Mus musculus: one gene and its partners. The protein of the gene in region 4 binds, or shares a complex with, the protein of the main gene of each other region. Links are inferred from orthologs where the notes say so. Each region holds a gene or a part of one and is shown on either strand. Other genes may lie near its edges.

Region 1 (4,009 bases), on a different chromosome or scaffold from region 4:
TAAAAGAAAAATACAAAAGTAACTTTATAAAGTCAGATTTCTTTCCTCTGTAAAACAATTTTTTTATTAATGTGTGTGTGCATGAATAAACATGCCACAGGTCTGCAGGTGCCCAGAATGAGGTCTGATCCTCTGGAACTGGAGTTACAGGCAGTCGTGAGTCACCAACCTGGGGACTAAGAGCAGCTGGTCCAAGGAACTGCTGAGCCATCTGCCCAGCCGCAGACCCAGGCTTGGTATGTCCAGCTTCCAGATATTGGTTTTTATATATGGCACTACTCCACTCAGCTCCTCTGGGAGGAGTCAAACCTAACACTTCACCATTGACCTTGAAGCGGAAACAAAATCCCAAATTATTTTTGACAGTCTCACTATGCTGGCCTGGACCCTCAAGAGATCCACCTCTGCCTCCCAAGTGTGTGTGTCACCACTGCCTGGCTTCCAAACAACTAACTTTTAAATGAATGGGCTAAAAAAAAGACAGTCCTTAGGGCCTGGGTGCTTGGTTGGCAGAGTGCTGGCTTGGCGTTCCTGAAACCCTGGGTTCCTCCAGCACCACATGAATGGATGTGGAGCTCTTGCCTATAAGTTTAGCACTCAGGAGGTAGAGACAGGAAGGTAAGGAGGACAAGGTCTGCCTCTCACAGCTTGAGGTTCCCCAGAACTAAATGAGAAGGCAATAGGCGGGCAGAGAGATGGCTCAGGGGCTAAGAACATGAACTCGCATCCTTTATGGATGATCTGAACACAGCTCCGGTAGCCTACAACTGCCTGTACCCCCAACTCCAGGGACCCATCACTTGCATGGCCTCCTTGGGCACCCACACTCACATGCGCATACCCACACACAGACACACAATTAAGAACAAATCTTAGAAGAAACAGTCTTTGGATGAAGGCTGGTCGTGTTCCTCTCCCATAAGACATTTTATTGAAAAGTATTTTTCAGCTACAAAAGAATCTGCAACAGCCAGGAACCTCCGGCCATGCCCCACTCCGCAGGCAGCCCGAGCAGGAGGGGCCTCGGCTCCCCTAGTTATGTCTGAAGAGCTTCAGGCCCATCCATGTCCACAGATGGAAGAACACGTACACAGGCACGGTGACCGGCAAGAGCAAGCTGTAGAAGCACAGGCTGCTGGCGCTGGTGCAGCCCTCTGGGAAGCCTTCCTCCACGGAGGCGGAGTAGAGCAGGCCTGCCAGCGAGACCAGTGGGATGAGGACGGTCATGGTGGGCAGGGACCGGATCATCTTCCTCCCTTCTTAAAAGGTTAACTGTCTCAAGAAAACTCAGTTGTTTGAAAAGTTCTGTTCTCGTGCGGGTGCGCTCTTGTCTTATCTTCCCCTTGTCCCGACTCCTCATTCACCCAGGCATGCTTCCCAAGGGCACGCAGAAAGTCCAGGGGTCCCAGGCCGAAGGTGCCGGCTCCTCAGCCTCCGCGTCACACGCAGCGGTTACCAGCGACTGCAGACACCACCTGTGTCCCTCGCAGCGCAGGCGAGAGGTCTTTTAACTGTATGAGAAAAATGCAAGATGACAAGATGAAGGGCAGGCGACGGGAAGGGAGAGGAAAGGATGGGGAAGCAGCCAGTACCAGCACTGAGTAGGTTAGAGACAGGATTGCTGGAACCGGCAGGCTGGCCTCGAACGTTGTGATCCTCCTGCATCAGCCTCCCCAAGCCACCACATCCGGCTAGAAAGAAGCCTTTAAAAAAAGGAGTGTCCTCCAAAACTGCCTATAGTGACCCCCATCAGAGGTATCAGTATTGAGGAGGCAGTGACAAAAGAACGGCTGCCAGACCATGCTTAAAACACTACAAGTGTCATGAATTACTTTGGGAAGTAAGCAATTTGAAAAACAGAATGAAGGACAGGTGGACTGATAATGTTTTTGTGAACTGGGGAAGCGGAATGCGACCTACAAATCCGGGTTCGCTTCAGACATCTGAGTGAGGCTTTCTATACGAGGACTGGCTGGGAACCAGCACCAGAACCTGGGGCCAGGTCACGAGCCACCCGCGGTCAATGCACAGACCGAAGACAGCGCCATCCCTTGGGCGCAGTCGCCTCGGGGACCAGAAGGGGCAACGAGCCCGCTGCAGTCTCTGACCGACGGAGGGACAGAGCCGAGCCGAGCCGAGCCGAGCCGAAGAAAACCGAGCCGAGCCGAGCGGGGCAAGACAGGACAGGGGGAACCCGGCCGAACCGAAAACGAACCAGCCAGACAAACGGAGTCGGCGGCGTCCATGGCGCAGACGCCAAGCTGGCGCGAGTCCCGCCCCAGCCGGTTTCAACAGCTCCTCCGCTCGTATTTCGAGACCCTCAACTCACCGTTTGCAGGCCTGTAGGAGTCCGGTCCCTTCGGCGCCTGGCGGTGACAGTCACCGCCCCACGAAGGCGGGACAGCCCGGCCAGCCGCCCAATCAAATCCCTGCAGGGGCGGGGTGAGGAACCCAGATCCCGCGATGGAGCCGGTCCGCGCGTGCTCATTGGACAGTTCACCTTGCCTTCGCTCCCAGGCTCAGGCTCCGCCCCCGTGGTCTTGATTGACGGGTGAGGCCAGAAAGACTCTGAGAGCACCGGATAGCTAAGGATCCCATCGTCTCTGGCTGGGCGTCCCCTATGCTAGTCCTGCTGGAAGTAGGAGAGGAACGTATTTGCCACAGTTTATTCATGGCGCTCCAGAGCAGACAGTGGGGTCTTTCTGCACTGAAAAGCCTTCCCCACTTTTTTTTTTTGGTTTTTCGAGACAGCCCTGGCTGTCCTGGAACTCACTCTGTAGAACAGGCTGGCCTCGAACTCAGAAATCCACTTGCCTCTGCCTCTGCTGGGGTTAAAGGCGTGCACCACCATGCCCGGCTGCCTTCCCCACTTCTAATTGATAAACTTGAATCCTGAATCGCACCTGGCCTCAGCCACTATCATCTATCCTCTTAAGCAGCGGAAAGATGACTGATACATTATTTTACGTATGAATCGGTAAATGGCAAAATAATAGTTTGTGCTGATGAGATGGCTCAGCGAGTATAGGCGTTTCCTGCCAGGTCAGACTACCTGAGATCGACCTTCCGGTACCCACATGGTGGAGAACTATTTTCCTCTGACCTCCACACATGTATTGTGGCACACCTGAGTGTACTCCCGCAAAAAGTGCAAAATGAAGTTTTAAGAGAAAATGTAGCCAAGCACACTCCTAATCCTAGCACTCCTTAGGCAAAAGCTAGCGGATTTCTGTGAGTTCGAGACCAGCCTGGTCTACATAGCAAGTTCCAGGTCATCCGGACTACATAGTAAGACGATGAGTGTGTGTGCCTTGGGGTTGGGGGGAGGGACGGTGTTCGTAAATGCTGTCCACGGGGCCGGCCACTGCCTTGCCTAGTGAGGCAGTGTTATCTCTGATCCCAGCGTAAAGAAAAATGAGGCTGAGCTAGGATTCTGCACAGTACTGCACAGGAAGCTCCATCCCTTAATCTTCCCGCAAGCTAAAAGATCAGAAAGTTTTTCTTCTCAGAGGTAAGTAGTGGTATAGAGTCCGTGCAGCTTCTGTTGCAACCACAAGGTGGCAGGAGAGAGCTGAGGACAAACCATCCTATGGTTTACACAGAGCAAGTAACAAACATTTTTTAATTTAAAAATTTAAAATCGGAACAAAAAATAGCCAGCAAGATAGTTCAAGAGGTAAAGGCACTCACTACACACGCCTGTGAAAAGGCCAGTATTGGCGCAAGATACCCAAGACCAAGTTCTTAGCGTAGAGGGGTTTTGCCCCAAAGTTCAAAGGGCAGGGAATAAGAGCCAAAGACAGGAGATAGAGGATGAGGGAGAAGGGGGGTGGGGGGGGTCACAACAGACAGGATGATGACAGCACAGCAAAGGACTGCCTCTGGGTAGAGGGGAGAAAGACGTGGTGCACAGGGAAATGGCGGTTTAAAAAGGTAAAGAGGAAACCCCGTGTTAGGACAAGGTGTTTTTTGTTTTGTTTTTTCAAAGGTTTACTTTTTGCGGGGCAGT
Region 2 (3,309 bases), on a different chromosome or scaffold from region 4:
TAACATAAATATTTTTTGTTGTTTTTTTGTTTTTCAAGACAGGGTTTCTCCGTGTGGCCCTAGCTGTCCTGGAACTCACCCTGTATACCCGGCAATAAATCTTTAAAAAACAAAAAACAACTAGAAGTTAGAAAGATCCAGGAAGTCCTTTTAAAAAGAAAAGAAACCTGGCAGTGGTGACACACGCCTTTAATCCCAACACTTGGGAGGCAGAGGTAGGCGGATTTCTGAGTTCGAGGCCAGCCTGGTCTACAGAGTGAGTTCCAGGACAGTCAGGACTGCATGGAGAAACTCTGTCTCAAAAAACAAACAAACAAAACAAAAAAACAACCAACTTGAAAGCTGTGAAGAATGGAAGGAAGTTAGGGACCCATGCTTCCTGCGCAGCCTTGTATGGGAAGCCTCGCAGCACTTCCAAGGTTGAAGCTGAAGCGGGAGGACCACAGGTTGAGGGCAGCCTGGGTAGCACGACAGGGTTGGTTGTAAGCCAGGTTGAACTACTTATTAAAACCATATATATTAAAACCATATACACAAGTAAACAAACCTGTTTTGGGGATATAGTTCAGTTGTGGACTTCCAAGTTTGAAGCCCAGCATGACATAAACTAGTCTAGTCATGGTGGGTTTAGCCTGTAATTAGAGACGTTAGAATCGAGATAATCCACAGCCATATGGCTGGGGTCAAGGCCAGTCTAGGGTACATGGCATCCTATTTCAAACAGAAAAAAAATCTTGAGAAGGGAACAGAACACCATCAAAATGCAAAGCTAAGTAAGGCCTGGTAAGGTGGTTCTCCTGCCCCCTCACCTCTTGACCTCTAGTATATAGAATCCCCATCCCACCCCCCACCCCACCGCTATCCTCCATACTCAAAACTACACAAGATTAGAAAATAAAACTGCATTTTAATGCGGAATGAGGAAAGATGTCCAGACTGGAATGGGTTTAGGTGTCAGAAGCGCAGCCCCCTGCGTGCTAAATCAGCTCGGGCCTCCACGATCTGGCTCTGCAGCTCTCGGGCAGCGTCCTCGCAGTCGTGAAATGTAGCTACGCGATAGCCCACCGTGCCCAGGGCATAGCAGCCAGCGGAGACCAACAGGTAGGCAGGCAGTGGCCACAGGACCTCTCGGCAGGGGAAAGGCAACTCCAAGCCCAGTGCTCCCATGGTCAGGGCAGCCCAGGCAGAGCCCAGGAGAGCCAGTCCCCAAAGCCACTGTGTTAACTTCGTCATGTTGGCTGCAGGGAGAAAAATCAAAGCTAAGGGTTCTTTCTACCGATCCCCGCTCTGCATCTGACATTTATTCCCAGTCTCCGCCACCCATTTCCGTCTTTCCACTCTGCCCGCCACCTAAGCGTACCTCCGTGTGCCGCGCTGACAAGGCCCGCATCAGCATCCGGAAGTCCCTTTCTACTACCGCCCTTTTTCCGGGCTGCCTTCTGGGAACTGTAGTTCTTAGGACAATTTCGGCCGCGCTCAGATCCAGGTTGGTTATACACTGCTCTTCGAAAATCTGAGTTCAGAAGAGTTTTTGCCGTTTTGTTCTGGAGACCCACATCGATACCGGCTGGAACTTGTGGACAATCGGAGGATACCCCGAAACGCTGCGTTAAGATGGGAATGTTACATCGCCCCCCTTAAACTAGATTCTCCAGTGCAGAAAGCCCACTCATTCAATTATTCAAGCATTCTTCCAACACACCCATCAATCAGCAAACATGAACAGGCCGCCTCACACCTGCTAGGCAAGTTCTCAACCACTGAGCCCTTTTATATTTTGAAACAGGATTTTACAGAGTACCCGGAATAAACTTGAACTCCAGTCTGAGATCCTGTCTTGAAGAAATAGGCTGGTCATGTCAAATTGAACTGCAAATCACAGGCCCATATACCTGTGATTCCAGGGCAATTCAACAGAAGAAGAAAGAAGACCATGACCATTACAGGATATGATAAAGGGTTGGTTGCTAGGGGATGGAGAGGTGGCTCAGCAGTTAAGAGCACTGGCTGCTCTATCAGAAGATCCTAGTTCAATTCTCAGCACCCACATGACAGCTCACAGCTGCCTGTAACTCCAGTTCCAGAGAATCTGACACCCTCACACAGACATACACGCAGGTGAAACATCAATGTGCATAAAATAAAAAAAAAATTTTTTTTTAATAAAAAGGGGTTGGTTGCCTTTAGGTAGCAATAACAGTTTAAATAAAACAAGGGGGTTTTCTTTGGCTTGATTTTTGGTTTGTTTGGGTTTTAAATCTTTATTTATGTGTGCATATGTGTGTCTATCTGAGCGTATACTGGATACATTTAGGTGCCTGCAGAAGCCAGAAAAGCTGGAGTTACAGGTAGTTGTGAGCTGTCTGACACTGGAGCTAGGAACCAAACTCAGGTCCTCTGGAAGAGCAGCAAGCACACTTAACAGCTGAGCTGTTTCCAGCCTGGTTGGTATTCGTTTTGTTTTGAGACAGAGTCTAATGTAATGTATTCCAGGCTGGCCTAGAGCATGGGATGTAGCTGAGGATGGCCCTGAACCCTTGTTACTCCTGCCTCTGCTTTCCCAGTGCTAGAATTAAATGTGTGTGTTACCAAACCTTCCTTAAAGCAATTCTGTTGTTGGAAAAACGAGTAAATGAGGAGTGAAAAAGTCCTGAGGACATCCACATGATCCCAAGGCTCAGGAGGCAGGGCTGCTCCAAGTTCAAGGCCAACATGAACTACATAAGGAAGGCCCTGATTTAAAGGGAAAAAAATCTAGTCTGAGTGGATTGAGGGTCCACTTGGAAATCACAAAGCGGGGACAGAAGTAGACTGTAACTCCAAGACCTCACACAGACTCACGTGCAGGCTAAACACCAGTGCACATAAAATAAAAATTAACAAATGTTCAAAGACCCATTGTTCAAAGCTTTGTAGCTGGATTGGAAATTTAGTTTACTTTGGTATGTCAAAAGGGAATCCAGAGGGGCTGGAGAAATGGCTCAGCAGTTAAGAGCTCTGGCAGCTCTTCTAGAGGATCCTCTGAGCTCCATTCCCAGCACCCACATGATGTCCTTAACCATCTGTAACTCCAGTTTCAGAGCGTCTGACAACACTTTATGACTTCCCGAGGCACCAGACACATACTCAGACATACATGCAGGCAAAACACCCATCCATGTAAAATAAAAGAGAAACAAACCAAACCCTTATTTCCTCAAAGCCTTCAATGTTAATCAACAATTATTATTTATAAAACAAAAACAAAAAACATGTTACTGAGACAACAGACAAGAGTAAAATGTGCCGTTTTCTTTTTTCCCCTTTCTT
Region 3 (5,046 bases), on a different chromosome or scaffold from region 4:
CGTTCCCATCATTGTGCTTTGACTATCATATGTAGTCACATCTTGCCTGCAAATGTTTTTGTAATCTGAATTAAATTTGAGACAGTTCACAAAGTATATTCATATTACGAATCAGAATCACAGTTACTGCAATATTTACTTTCTCTGAGCCACAGGTATGACTCCCAAACTGAGTAGAAACAACACTTTTGGAGCGGTAACAGCTGCCCTCACTGGGCACACTTGCTTGGTCCATAGTTTTCCATTCTCACTAGTATTACCTATCTGTTTCTCAAAGGCTTTCACCTGCTATCCTCCACGAGTAAATTAAATGTCACCTCTGGTTTCCTAACTGCCTGAGATGAACTCACCCTCCAGCCTCTTTCATATCGCTAACGTTTTGTTTCTATGGCATGTAGCTCTCCTTGAGTGACCACTTCTGTGGTATTGGACAACAAACTGGATGCCACCATCAGGGATTCTCAAATTTGGGCTCTAGATATATAAAGGTGTCCCTTAGTATACACAGAAAAGGCTAAACAACTGATTACACTTTTACACACACACACACACCTTCATACTACTTTTGTCTTATGCTCTCATAAAAATGAGACAGGGCCAGTGTGATGGCTCAGCTGGTAAAGGCCTGTTGCCAGGGCCTGAATTTGATGCGTGGGACATACATACTGGAAATAGACAAACCCCCTCTCTTATACACACATAAATAAGGGTTTCCTTGTTTTGTTTTTTTTAAAATACTAGACAATGCAATGGATATTACTTTTTTAATAAGCAGAACCCACATTACATCATTTGTTACAGGGAATAAAGGACAATAATTCATAACAGCACCAGAAAGCTTTTTCAGTCACAAAATAACTGAAGGACAAGCACCCTCCCCTAAGCCCTTGGTTAAATGCTTTCTTCTGATCTCAGCTCTACCATCTAGATCAGTCGGCTGCTTCAAGAGTGGACCCCTGCCTTTAAATGTTGCACCGGTTAGGCTCGAAGTCTTTCCGCTGGTCTTAATAATGAAATGAAGGTCCCTAGATTAGCTAAGGAACCTAGACAAGTCTTCCTTGATTTCAGCTTCATCCCAAGGCCCGTGAATATTTTCCTTAAAAAGCTGCAGATGAATGAGGTAGTAAGGGCAGAGACAGGAGATGGAAAACAGCAGGAGAGCAAAGAGTATGGCTCCCACAGCACTAATGGACAGAAGACCTCCAAAGGCAGAAAAGGCAAAAAGCAAAGTGACCCCTACATAGCTTCGCGGGGTGTACGCCTTCAGTTTCTTCTGTAACATGGGCCACAGTGCAAAGATCTGGATAGCAAACGTCACCATAATGAAGGCGTGGAGTGACCGGGGGAGGCGTGAGGCCAGGCAAACAGAAGCAAAGATGGCCATGTTCAAGGACAGGGTGCTGGATACAATAGCAGCATTGGCACCGTAATCAAAGAAGATGAGATGGCCTAACAGCATAAAGACTGCCATGGCGTAGATAGTGTCTGTACTGACAGACTCCGTCAGGGTCTTTAGCACAGGTGAAAAACCGTAAGTGAAAGTGATAAAGACCAGAGTACTCTTCAGGTCGGCCCACCGGGTCCGCCCACTCTTCTTCCGTCCATCACCTCCATCGATAAGATCGAATAAAACATACCCAACCAAGGAAGATGCCAGTCCGGTCCCAAAAAGCCACTGGGGAGCCAGAAGACCCTCATCCATGTACCACCAGATCACTACAAAAACACAGACACTGCACAGCTGCTGTATCACCACACTGGACTCAAATACCACAGCCCAGTACTGGTACTTCCGGGCATAGATGTTTTTCCGGAGTTCTTCCAGGAACCTCTGGTCAACATAGTTATCAGGGAACGGCTGCCGCTCATATAAAACCTTCTGCCACTTGACTTCTGGGGTGTCTGTTACACGTTGAGCACACATTATCTCATTCTTTCCTCAAATCCAGGTTGGCTCAATCTCCCTCAGGGACGTCCATGGGGTTCTGGTTCTTGATAAATCTGTAGATTAAGAACTCTCTGGAAATGCCATGCTGATACCCTACAGAACTTTCCTTGTTTACAAAGCCTTCAGTACAAGCTGAGCCTGCATTAGATGAGTTTGTCCTGAGGGTCAGGACAACACAGCTAAATTCCTAGAAGAGAGAACTGTAAATATATGGAAGCTGGCATCAGATACAATAAAAAACAACTTGGCTTACTGAAAGCCTAGATAAATTGTGTCTGGTGACATAATGCGGCATTAAGCCTTCACATTTTAAAGTGTAGTCTTAATAATTGATATCTGCATCTAACTCAGAATGTTAAATGTCTTATGCACCTTCTTTAACTGTCACAGCCTTACAAGTTAATACCAGTTATGAGTTTACCTAATAAGACATCTGAGTTTCAAAACAGTAGAGTATTTAGGTCCCAGGCTAACAGCGTGGAGCCAGACCTCCTACAAAAGTCTAGTGTCAAAGTCTCTGCTTCTGGTCGTCCTTCTCTAAGCCAGTCTTAACTTGGGCATTCATACACTCTAAGGTTTATACTATTTTTGCATGATTATATTTGCAACTTACGCAAATTTATAGGGACAGAATCCATCCATAGCCGTTACTAGGTCCCCAAAGGTATCTGAATAAGTTATCGGTCGAATGACAATAACCTGCACCGTACAAAAGGGCATGATCTCTCTATAGTTTTAGCCCAAACCAAGAACTCAAATCTTTTTTGTTCATTAGCTGAACTTACTATCCTTTAAAGTGCTATATCATCCTAATTAACTGAAACAGCAAAACTCTAGCGCAGGATCAAGAAAACAATCATCCCAGTCGTAAACACAGAGGTCATTCAGCAAATTCGAGAAAGAACTTCCTGCCGGACCGTCTGTATTTTTCGTGGAGGCTAGGATAGACCTTTGCTTTAAAAGCCGTACACCCTGGAGTCGGCCCTCACGCACTGGGACCTCGGGATTTGAAAGGTCCCCGTCACCGGGCGGCGAAGGGTCTTGGGCTACCACTCACCCAACCGGCCTGCCCCGCCCGCCGCTGCCGACCCCCGCCCCAGCCTTGGATCAGCCGGAAGCGCTCACAGCGAAGGACGCCGGAACCCACCTGCACCAAGCTCTTTAGGGGGGTGCACGACCGAGAAGAGCGGCCGCCTAGCTACTTCTACATCCGGGACGCCGGCTTGGAAGGGGACTACTGTGGAGGAGCACTTCCGGATCCGCAGCACTCGGCGGCCAAAGCGTCCCGCCCCGAGACTCCACACCGCGAGGTCACTGCTGCCCTCTACTGATTGCTCCTCTCCTGGCAATCTGCTCCTAGTGGAATGCTAAGCCTGGGAAGCAAATCCCTCAGTGGGAATTACTTCACAGGGTGTGGAAGGCAGGAGAAGGCAGGAAGAGTCGCGGGGCTGGTGGAAGACTGGTAACTGCAAGGTTACCATGACATGTGTTGACAGGCTCTCAGCCAAGGGACTTTCCATGCATCCAAACCCTCCTCCTATAGGTGCCAAACCAGGCTTCTGGTATTCACCAAAAAAAAAAAAAAAAAAAAAAAAAAAAAAAAAAAAGGGGGGGGGAGTCGGGGAGATCCCAGATCTCACATAGCATCCTGTGCGTTGACTTGCACAGAGACGATGCGATCATTAGTTTGTTTTTGACCAAAGTCAGGCAGCTGGTTAGTAATTGCAAGTAGATCAGAAATATCCAAATGTGGATGGCTCCAAAGCTGGATCCTTTCCTAGACTTTGCCACCTAAAAGAGATGAGGGTGGAGAGCCTTTGGGACGAGAGATTGCTGATTTTCAACTGGGGTCTTGGAAGTGTCACAGGATTTATAAATAGATGGAAGCTCGAAGAATTTAAAATATAGAGACTGTTAAATAGTGTGGACACAGAGGCAGAAAGCATGAACCCATTTATTCATATTCACACTATCTGGGCTTTGAATTCTTTGTCTGTAAAAGAAAGAAGGCGCTTATTTGTTCTTGGCCACCTTATGGAATGGTTGGAGGACTCTCGTGTTAAAATAGTTTGCAATGTATTGATTGCTGTGTGGTTGCTGTTAGCTTACTTTGCTTATTGTAATACCAGCACTGGTCAAGTATTTTAACTTTTTTTTAATATTTTGTTTTTAATTATGTCTACATATGTGCTCCTGACTCCAGGTGTCTGTGGAGGTCAGAAGAAGGTGCTAGGTCCCCTGCCGCTATAGTTACAGGCAGTCATGAGCTGGCTTGTGGGTGCTGTCAACTAAACCTGGCTTTTCTCCAAGAGGAAGGAGTGCTGTTAGCCACCAAGGCATCTCTCTGGCCCTGTGACTCCCTTTAAGATTTAGTCTTCGGAAGTGTGATAAACTCTGCAACCTGATCTCTTTCCATTTCTCTCTCTGTAGGCTTTTGTTCCAAAGTTTGACAAGATTCCTTGGCTGAGTGAGGCCAGCCTGGTAAACAAACCATTGATCCTGAGCATCCCCAGAAGGTAACTTCCCAGCTTCTGAGGACAGAGCCTTCGAGGCAGAGCTCAGTGGTTGTACTCTTAAGGTGGAGAGGTGCATGTGCCCTGTTGAGAAACCAAGTCGAATGCAAAAAAAAGAAAAAGAAAAAGAAAAAAGAAAGAAACGCCCTGGGTTTCTCAGACAAAGGTTATGCTATGTAAAGGCCTGGCTAGAAGAAATGAGAGCCGCCATAACCTTCATTTCTGCGTGTACTATTCAACCACAGACACTGTAACTCAAAACACTTCCATAGTTTCCCCCCACCCCGCTTCAATTTCTAGTCTTCGAATTCTAATTATCAATAACCTAGAACTATAACACGCCATCTTTATAGAGTAGCAATAGCTGTATTTCACGTGGGGCCTCCTCCAGTTTCATGGGTCGCTCATGCCCTCACAAAGCCAATAGATAACACATTTCTGATTTTGAAAACTGAGGATTTATATGTATGGGGCATTTCAGCTTCTACTTAAAATAATTAAGTTCTTCATTCAACACCTCCCCGCCCCTTACAGTTAAGTTGTCCCTGGGTGTGGTGATAAATCTCTGAGAGAAATGTAGGTTGT
Region 4 (4,863 bases):
TGCCGGGATTAAAGGGATCCATTACCACAGCCAGCCTGATATGTATTTTTGGGAAGCCATCAGGATGAAGGAACCCAGAGTGGAAGGGAAAGGTCAGCGGGGAGGAAAAGAGAAGGTGGGTGGTTTTGTATCTGAGAAGGGGCTGGAGAGGGCCTGAGAAGTGATACACTTTCAGGCTGTGTGGATGCCAGATAGGGGTAGATATCCAGGGTAAGGGACACAAGCTTAAGCTTCTAGAGAGGCATCCCAGGGGCCTCTTAAATATGAATCGAGGGGCTGGAGCTGGAGATATCTTAGGAAGAGTGCTTGCCTAGCAGGCATAAAGCCCTCATGACATGTGGTATCTTAACCTTGGGGATATAGAGTCAAAAAGATCAGAAGTTCAAGGCCACCCTCAGCTATGTAGTTTAATGTCAGACTGGGCTACACTAGGCCTTAGCAGATGCGCCAGGCTTCTGATTCTCCGCTGTGACATTTCCCGAGTAAGAATCATATCTATCCCAGTTCCAGTTTTACCCTGTGTCTGACATAGGGACATCGCAAATGTACAACCTGAGGTGCCCTCATTGCACAACTCAGTAGCATCTGAGCCTCCTCTAGCCAGTTTCCCCAGAGCAAGGATGGCAGAGAGACAAACACCAACGCAATTAACATTTATTTGTAAGTTTTCCCAAACAGGCCAATTGTGGTCTAGTGTGGCTGCCTGGATGTAACCCTGTGGTTCTGGGGTTTGTCAGTCTTTCCCCAGGGCTTCCTGGGTCCAGAAGTCCTCATGGAGCCTGGGAAGTGTCAGACTCGGAAGAGCTGCCTTGTGACGGGACAGGACTTGTACAGAGAGGCGGGAAGGCCTGCTCAATCCATCAGCACAGTGGGAGGAGCACAGAGGTGAGAGGAGAGAACTCGGTGGAAGGGACAGGGAGCTTTGACTGTGAGATGGACAGGACCAACCAGCAATGTTCAGCCTCTGAGCCTAAGGGAAGTGAGAGGCTTCCCAACCCACCTTTCTCTTGGCTTCTAAAAGGATGACCAAGAGAGAGAGGGCTCCAGGTTGTCAAACTGAGAAGAAAACAGCCCCATGTCCCAAAGAGGGCTGCAGTGCAGCCAGCTTGACCATCTTGTAAGCTGTGACCCTTGGTCCCTTTTCTGGAGGAGATATGGAGAAGGCCCCTACAGCCTCATCCCTGCTGGACCTTCACTGAGCCTTCTTGGTTATCTTCTGGCTCTTCAGCATCACATAGGTGATGAACAATCCTGTAATACACAGAATAGGAGGGACTGGGAGGATTGGAGTGGAAGCTAGGTGGCCAGGCATGCAAGGTCAGGCTCCCAACCAACCCCCCTAGGGGTGCATCTTTGCAGTCATTCACTAGGTCACACAGCCACTGAGGGTCAGTTAACTATCACCAAAATGGTGCAAGGCTAACCACCTGTGCATCATCCGGCCATGTGGTTCCTCAGTCAACCCAAGCACTCTTTTAGGCTCCTGGGCTAGAGCTTAGAATAGCGTAACAGCAAAGACACAGTTCCCAACCCACAGAGCCGTAAGAGATGCCAGGGTGACTTGAGGCAGGAACATTGAAGAGATGAAGATGAAGCTGAGACAGGAAAGAAAGGGGAGCCATGTCCTCATTGCCCCAGGAACCTGAAAACTGGGAACACCACTAGAGGAGCTTCTGCCCGTGGCCTTTAAGGAATAGGAAAGCCCCGGGGAGCATTGGTGACAAGGAGAGTCTAAGCAGATGTACAGCAGGTGCCAGCATGTGGAAGCACGCTGCCTTCCAGACACCCTGCCCCAGATCGGGAGACTTACCCACAAATAGGAGCAGCAGGAGGCCTGCGGCCAACGGGAGGAGGACGGCGTAGGCGCGGGGCAGGAAGTATTTGTGGATGACATGCTGGCTGTCAATGAATGGCTGGCACCAAGGGCAAGAGCTCTGGTGAGTACTGCTCACCTTACTCAGCCCCAAAGGGAAGCCGTCCCACCTCCCCCTGGCAGCACTGGATACTGAGGGCCCACCTTGATAGCATCCCCAAGCGTGGATATGTATCATAACAAGAGACCCACCATATTGTCTCTGTATTGTTGAATACTGCCTGGGCCTTGTGAGTGCTGGAAACCATCCTTTTTGATTTCTGAGGCCCTGGCTGACCTCACCAAGCTGCCCTCCCCCCTTCTTCTGCCTTCTGAGAACTCTAGGTCTTTTAAAGAGGTCTTTATTTTTTGATCATGCATTTGTGCCTGTGAGTCCAGGTGTACTTTCATCCAAGCCCTGGATCTCCAATCTAACTCCTAACACAACTTAAGCAGCAATGGCGTTCCGTTCCAGGGACTTTTGCTGGGTCTCCTGGAGCTGGAGTTACAGATGGTTGTAGCTGGCCATGTGGGTGCTGGAACTTGAACCCCAGTCCTCTGGAGAATCAGCCAGTTCTCTTCATCACCGAAGGTCAGCCCACCTAACTTTCCTCTCTGAAGGATACCAAGTACTGCAAGATGCCCCTTTCCAAGCACAGTGTACTTTAAAACAATAACTAACAAAATTTCCCACATTAAAGAGAGAGGCAGAGAGAGAGAGAGAGAGAGAGAGAGAGAGAGAGAGACTTGAGATGTTAATAAACTCCACCGGCGACTGCTACACCCAGGAACCTGCTGGCTAACCAGGAGGACAAACACAAAATAAAGCCTCACTGTGCGGCAGTTCAGAGGCTGAGAAACAGCCTTCTCCCCGAGTCTTAGCCTCCTCATCTATAAAATGTAGACACCATCTGCAAGCACCATAGTGTAGATTTCGTGAGATTAGAGCTAGCTAAACATCCAGACGCTGGCACACAGACGCTGATTAAGTCGCGTTAGGAAACTGGCTTAGAGATCCAGAGCAAAATGAAGGTGAGCGGGGTGGGGGTGGGGCACACATACCAAGAGAATCACCCAAGTGGTGTAGTAGGTGAAGATGATCAAGCTAACGGCGACAAGGCCAAATCCTACTGCTTGGTCTGTCCCGGTGGCCTGGAGAAAAATAAAGGCTCAGCAGGCGAGATGGCTCGTGTACAAGCACTAACGGAGGGTCGGAGCAGCCGGTTTACACTCCAAACCTCTCATTCATTTAGAACCACGGAGGGCTTACTAGAAGTGGCTCTCGGGTTTAGAAAGCCACGTCAGGCCTCGTGTCACCTGTCTGCAAGCGGTGGAGAGAGCGATCTGGGTTTGGAGAGCCCAACTCCATCTCCCAAGGAGACTCTTACTCAGAGCCCCGACCCCTGGTACCCTCAAATCACACATGTACTCCACCCCAGGCTCACCATCTCTCCAGCGTTCCGCCGGAGCAACAAAATACATCCGGTTCCTGGTTTAGGCCTTTCCGGCTTGTAAATCACGTGACACGCGGAGACTCGTCTGAGCTGACGTGCGGGCACTTTTCCCCGCCCTCCAGTGCATGTCGGGAAATGTAGTTTCTGCAGGGAACTGTAGGGCCGGGAGCTCAGACTTTCAGGTTTTTGTGGCTACATCCCTGTCAGACCCTTCCCAAACAATAATCATTTAAACATTATCCTACAGTCCCAAGCCAGAGTGAGATGTACCCCAGAGTTGGAAGTCCCGGAAAGGGATAGATCATAATGAGTTGGTTGTTGAAGCAGACATCAGAATTCAAAGGCTCTACATTCTGGCCTTGAAACTGTTAATGGAAGAGTCTGTATAGAATGACCACCACTGGCCTGGCCTATGAGAATTTCCACTGGTTGGCTTCCTAGGGAACTTTCTAGGCTTCCCTTCATTGTCCACTGCCAGAGGTTTCAGAATGGCCCTCTTAGAACCAAGGGGCGCTGGGCCAAATTATCTTTCATGCTTTTCTTCTGTTTCTCACCCAGAACACTACTCTCATGGCATATGGGGCTAGCTGCTGTAGATCCATTCTTCTCCAAATGCTACACCATGCAGGTTATCCATTTCTGCAACCAGAGGCAACAGCTCCCTCTTTGTGCCCTGACAGGTATTTTTAACCAGTTTCTTCGATGATTAGGACCAAAAGTGGGGCTTTAAGATCCCCGAATTGATGCTGGGCATGGTGGTGCATTTCTGTAGTCCCAACACTCTGGAGGCATGAGGAGTAGTAGGTCTCCTTAAACCTCATGGCTAAAGGAAACCTTATAAATACCAAATAAAAACGTTTTATTCTTTCCCCAAAACCAGAGTGAGACACCGTCTCAAACAAGAAGAGGTTCAGGAGTAACAGGTGTTCTCCGACCTTTGTCAAGTGCCCATTCATATTCATACAAACATGTGTGGACATATATGTAATATGTATGTGTGTGTTTGTGGTGAGCATTATGACTGGGGTCAGACTGGAGAACACTAACCTACTTTCCCCAGCATGTCATCTTACACATACATGGCTAACTCCTGTTAGCAGCCCCCAAGTCAACACGGTGATGAGAATGAAAAGAAACACCAACAAAAAGCAGTAACAAAAACATCGGCATTTAATTCCACCCCCAAACCAAACATTGACACTAGGCTGATTTCCCCATATGACATAATTTTCTATTATAAGCTGAGACAGATATGAACAGCCCACGGAATGGGGTGCAGTGGTAACCTGGTTAGAAAGGAATAACACAAAAGCAAATTCTCCCCACAGAAGAAGATGGGCCTGCTCATCCTGCCAGACCACGTGGTCAGCTGTAGGGTAACCAGAAAAGAACCCTAAAAATATTGCAGATCTTTTATATCTCTCTAATAGAAACATTAAACTGTCTTACAGGTCCCAAACTGGCATTGCATAGACCAATTCCTTTTCAAAAATACCTCTAATATATCCTCTATCTTTGTATATAGAATTTGAAGTCCAGGTGCTCTGGGCACCCGTG

Evidence for each region. The genes of interacting proteins can lie anywhere in the genome.
Region 1: Dpm2 (region 4) and Pigyl share a complex: the UniProt entries of both Homo sapiens proteins name them as parts of the glycosylphosphatidylinositol-N-acetylglucosaminyltransferase (GPI-GnT) complex. The link is inferred for Mus musculus from reciprocal best matches to the Homo sapiens genes DPM2 and PIGY.
Region 2: Dpm2 (region 4) and Dpm3 share a complex: the UniProt entries of both Homo sapiens proteins name them as parts of the dolichol-phosphate mannose (DPM) synthase complex. The link is inferred for Mus musculus from reciprocal best matches to the Homo sapiens genes DPM2 and DPM3.
Region 3: Dpm2 (region 4) and Pigc share a complex: the UniProt entries of both Homo sapiens proteins name them as parts of the glycosylphosphatidylinositol-N-acetylglucosaminyltransferase (GPI-GnT) complex. The link is inferred for Mus musculus from reciprocal best matches to the Homo sapiens genes DPM2 and PIGC.

Annotation. Positions count from the first base shown.
Region 1 is NC_000075.6:22,155,234-22,159,242, reverse strand, and holds Pigyl (phosphatidylinositol N-acetylglucosaminyltransferase subunit Y precursor), read right to left. Parts: upstream 2,398-4,009; 5' UTR 2,330-2,397; intron 1,512-2,329; 5' UTR 1,249-1,511; coding exon 1,033-1,248; 3' UTR 888-1,032; downstream 1-887. UniProt on the Homo sapiens protein: Part of the glycosylphosphatidylinositol-N-acetylglucosaminyltransferase (GPI-GnT) complex that catalyzes the transfer of N-acetylglucosamine from UDP-N-acetylglucosamine to phosphatidylinositol and participates in the first step of GPI biosynthesis.
Region 2 is NC_000069.6:89,264,658-89,267,966, reverse strand, and holds Dpm3 (dolichol-phosphate mannosyltransferase subunit 3 precursor), read right to left. Parts: upstream 1,507-3,309; 5' UTR 1,361-1,506; intron 1,239-1,360; 5' UTR 1,234-1,238; coding exon 955-1,233; 3' UTR 888-954; downstream 1-887. UniProt on the Homo sapiens protein: Stabilizer subunit of the dolichol-phosphate mannose (DPM) synthase complex; tethers catalytic subunit DPM1 to the endoplasmic reticulum.
Region 3 is NC_000067.6:161,967,329-161,972,374, reverse strand, and holds the start of Pigc (phosphatidylinositol N-acetylglucosaminyltransferase subunit C), read right to left. Parts: upstream 3,188-5,046; 5' UTR 3,096-3,187; exon of another isoform or gene 3,006-3,095; intron 2,149-3,005; exon of another isoform or gene 2,136-2,148; 5' UTR 1,925-2,135; coding exon 1,031-1,924; 3' UTR 1-1,030. Other genes in the region: 4930558K02Rik (uncharacterized protein C1orf105 homolog), read left to right, coding at 4,379-4,464. UniProt on the Homo sapiens protein: Part of the glycosylphosphatidylinositol-N-acetylglucosaminyltransferase (GPI-GnT) complex that catalyzes the transfer of N-acetylglucosamine from UDP-N-acetylglucosamine to phosphatidylinositol and participates in the first step of GPI biosynthesis.
Region 4 is NC_000068.7:32,569,347-32,574,209, reverse strand, and holds Dpm2 (dolichol phosphate-mannose biosynthesis regulatory protein), read right to left. Parts: upstream 3,353-4,863; 5' UTR 3,301-3,352; coding exon 3,298-3,300; intron 3,005-3,297; coding exon 2,915-3,004; intron 1,914-2,914; coding exon 1,811-1,913; intron 1,252-1,810; coding exon 1,193-1,251; 3' UTR 639-1,192; downstream 1-638. UniProt on the Homo sapiens protein: Regulates the biosynthesis of dolichol phosphate-mannose. Regulatory subunit of the dolichol-phosphate mannose (DPM) synthase complex; essential for the ER localization and stable expression of DPM1.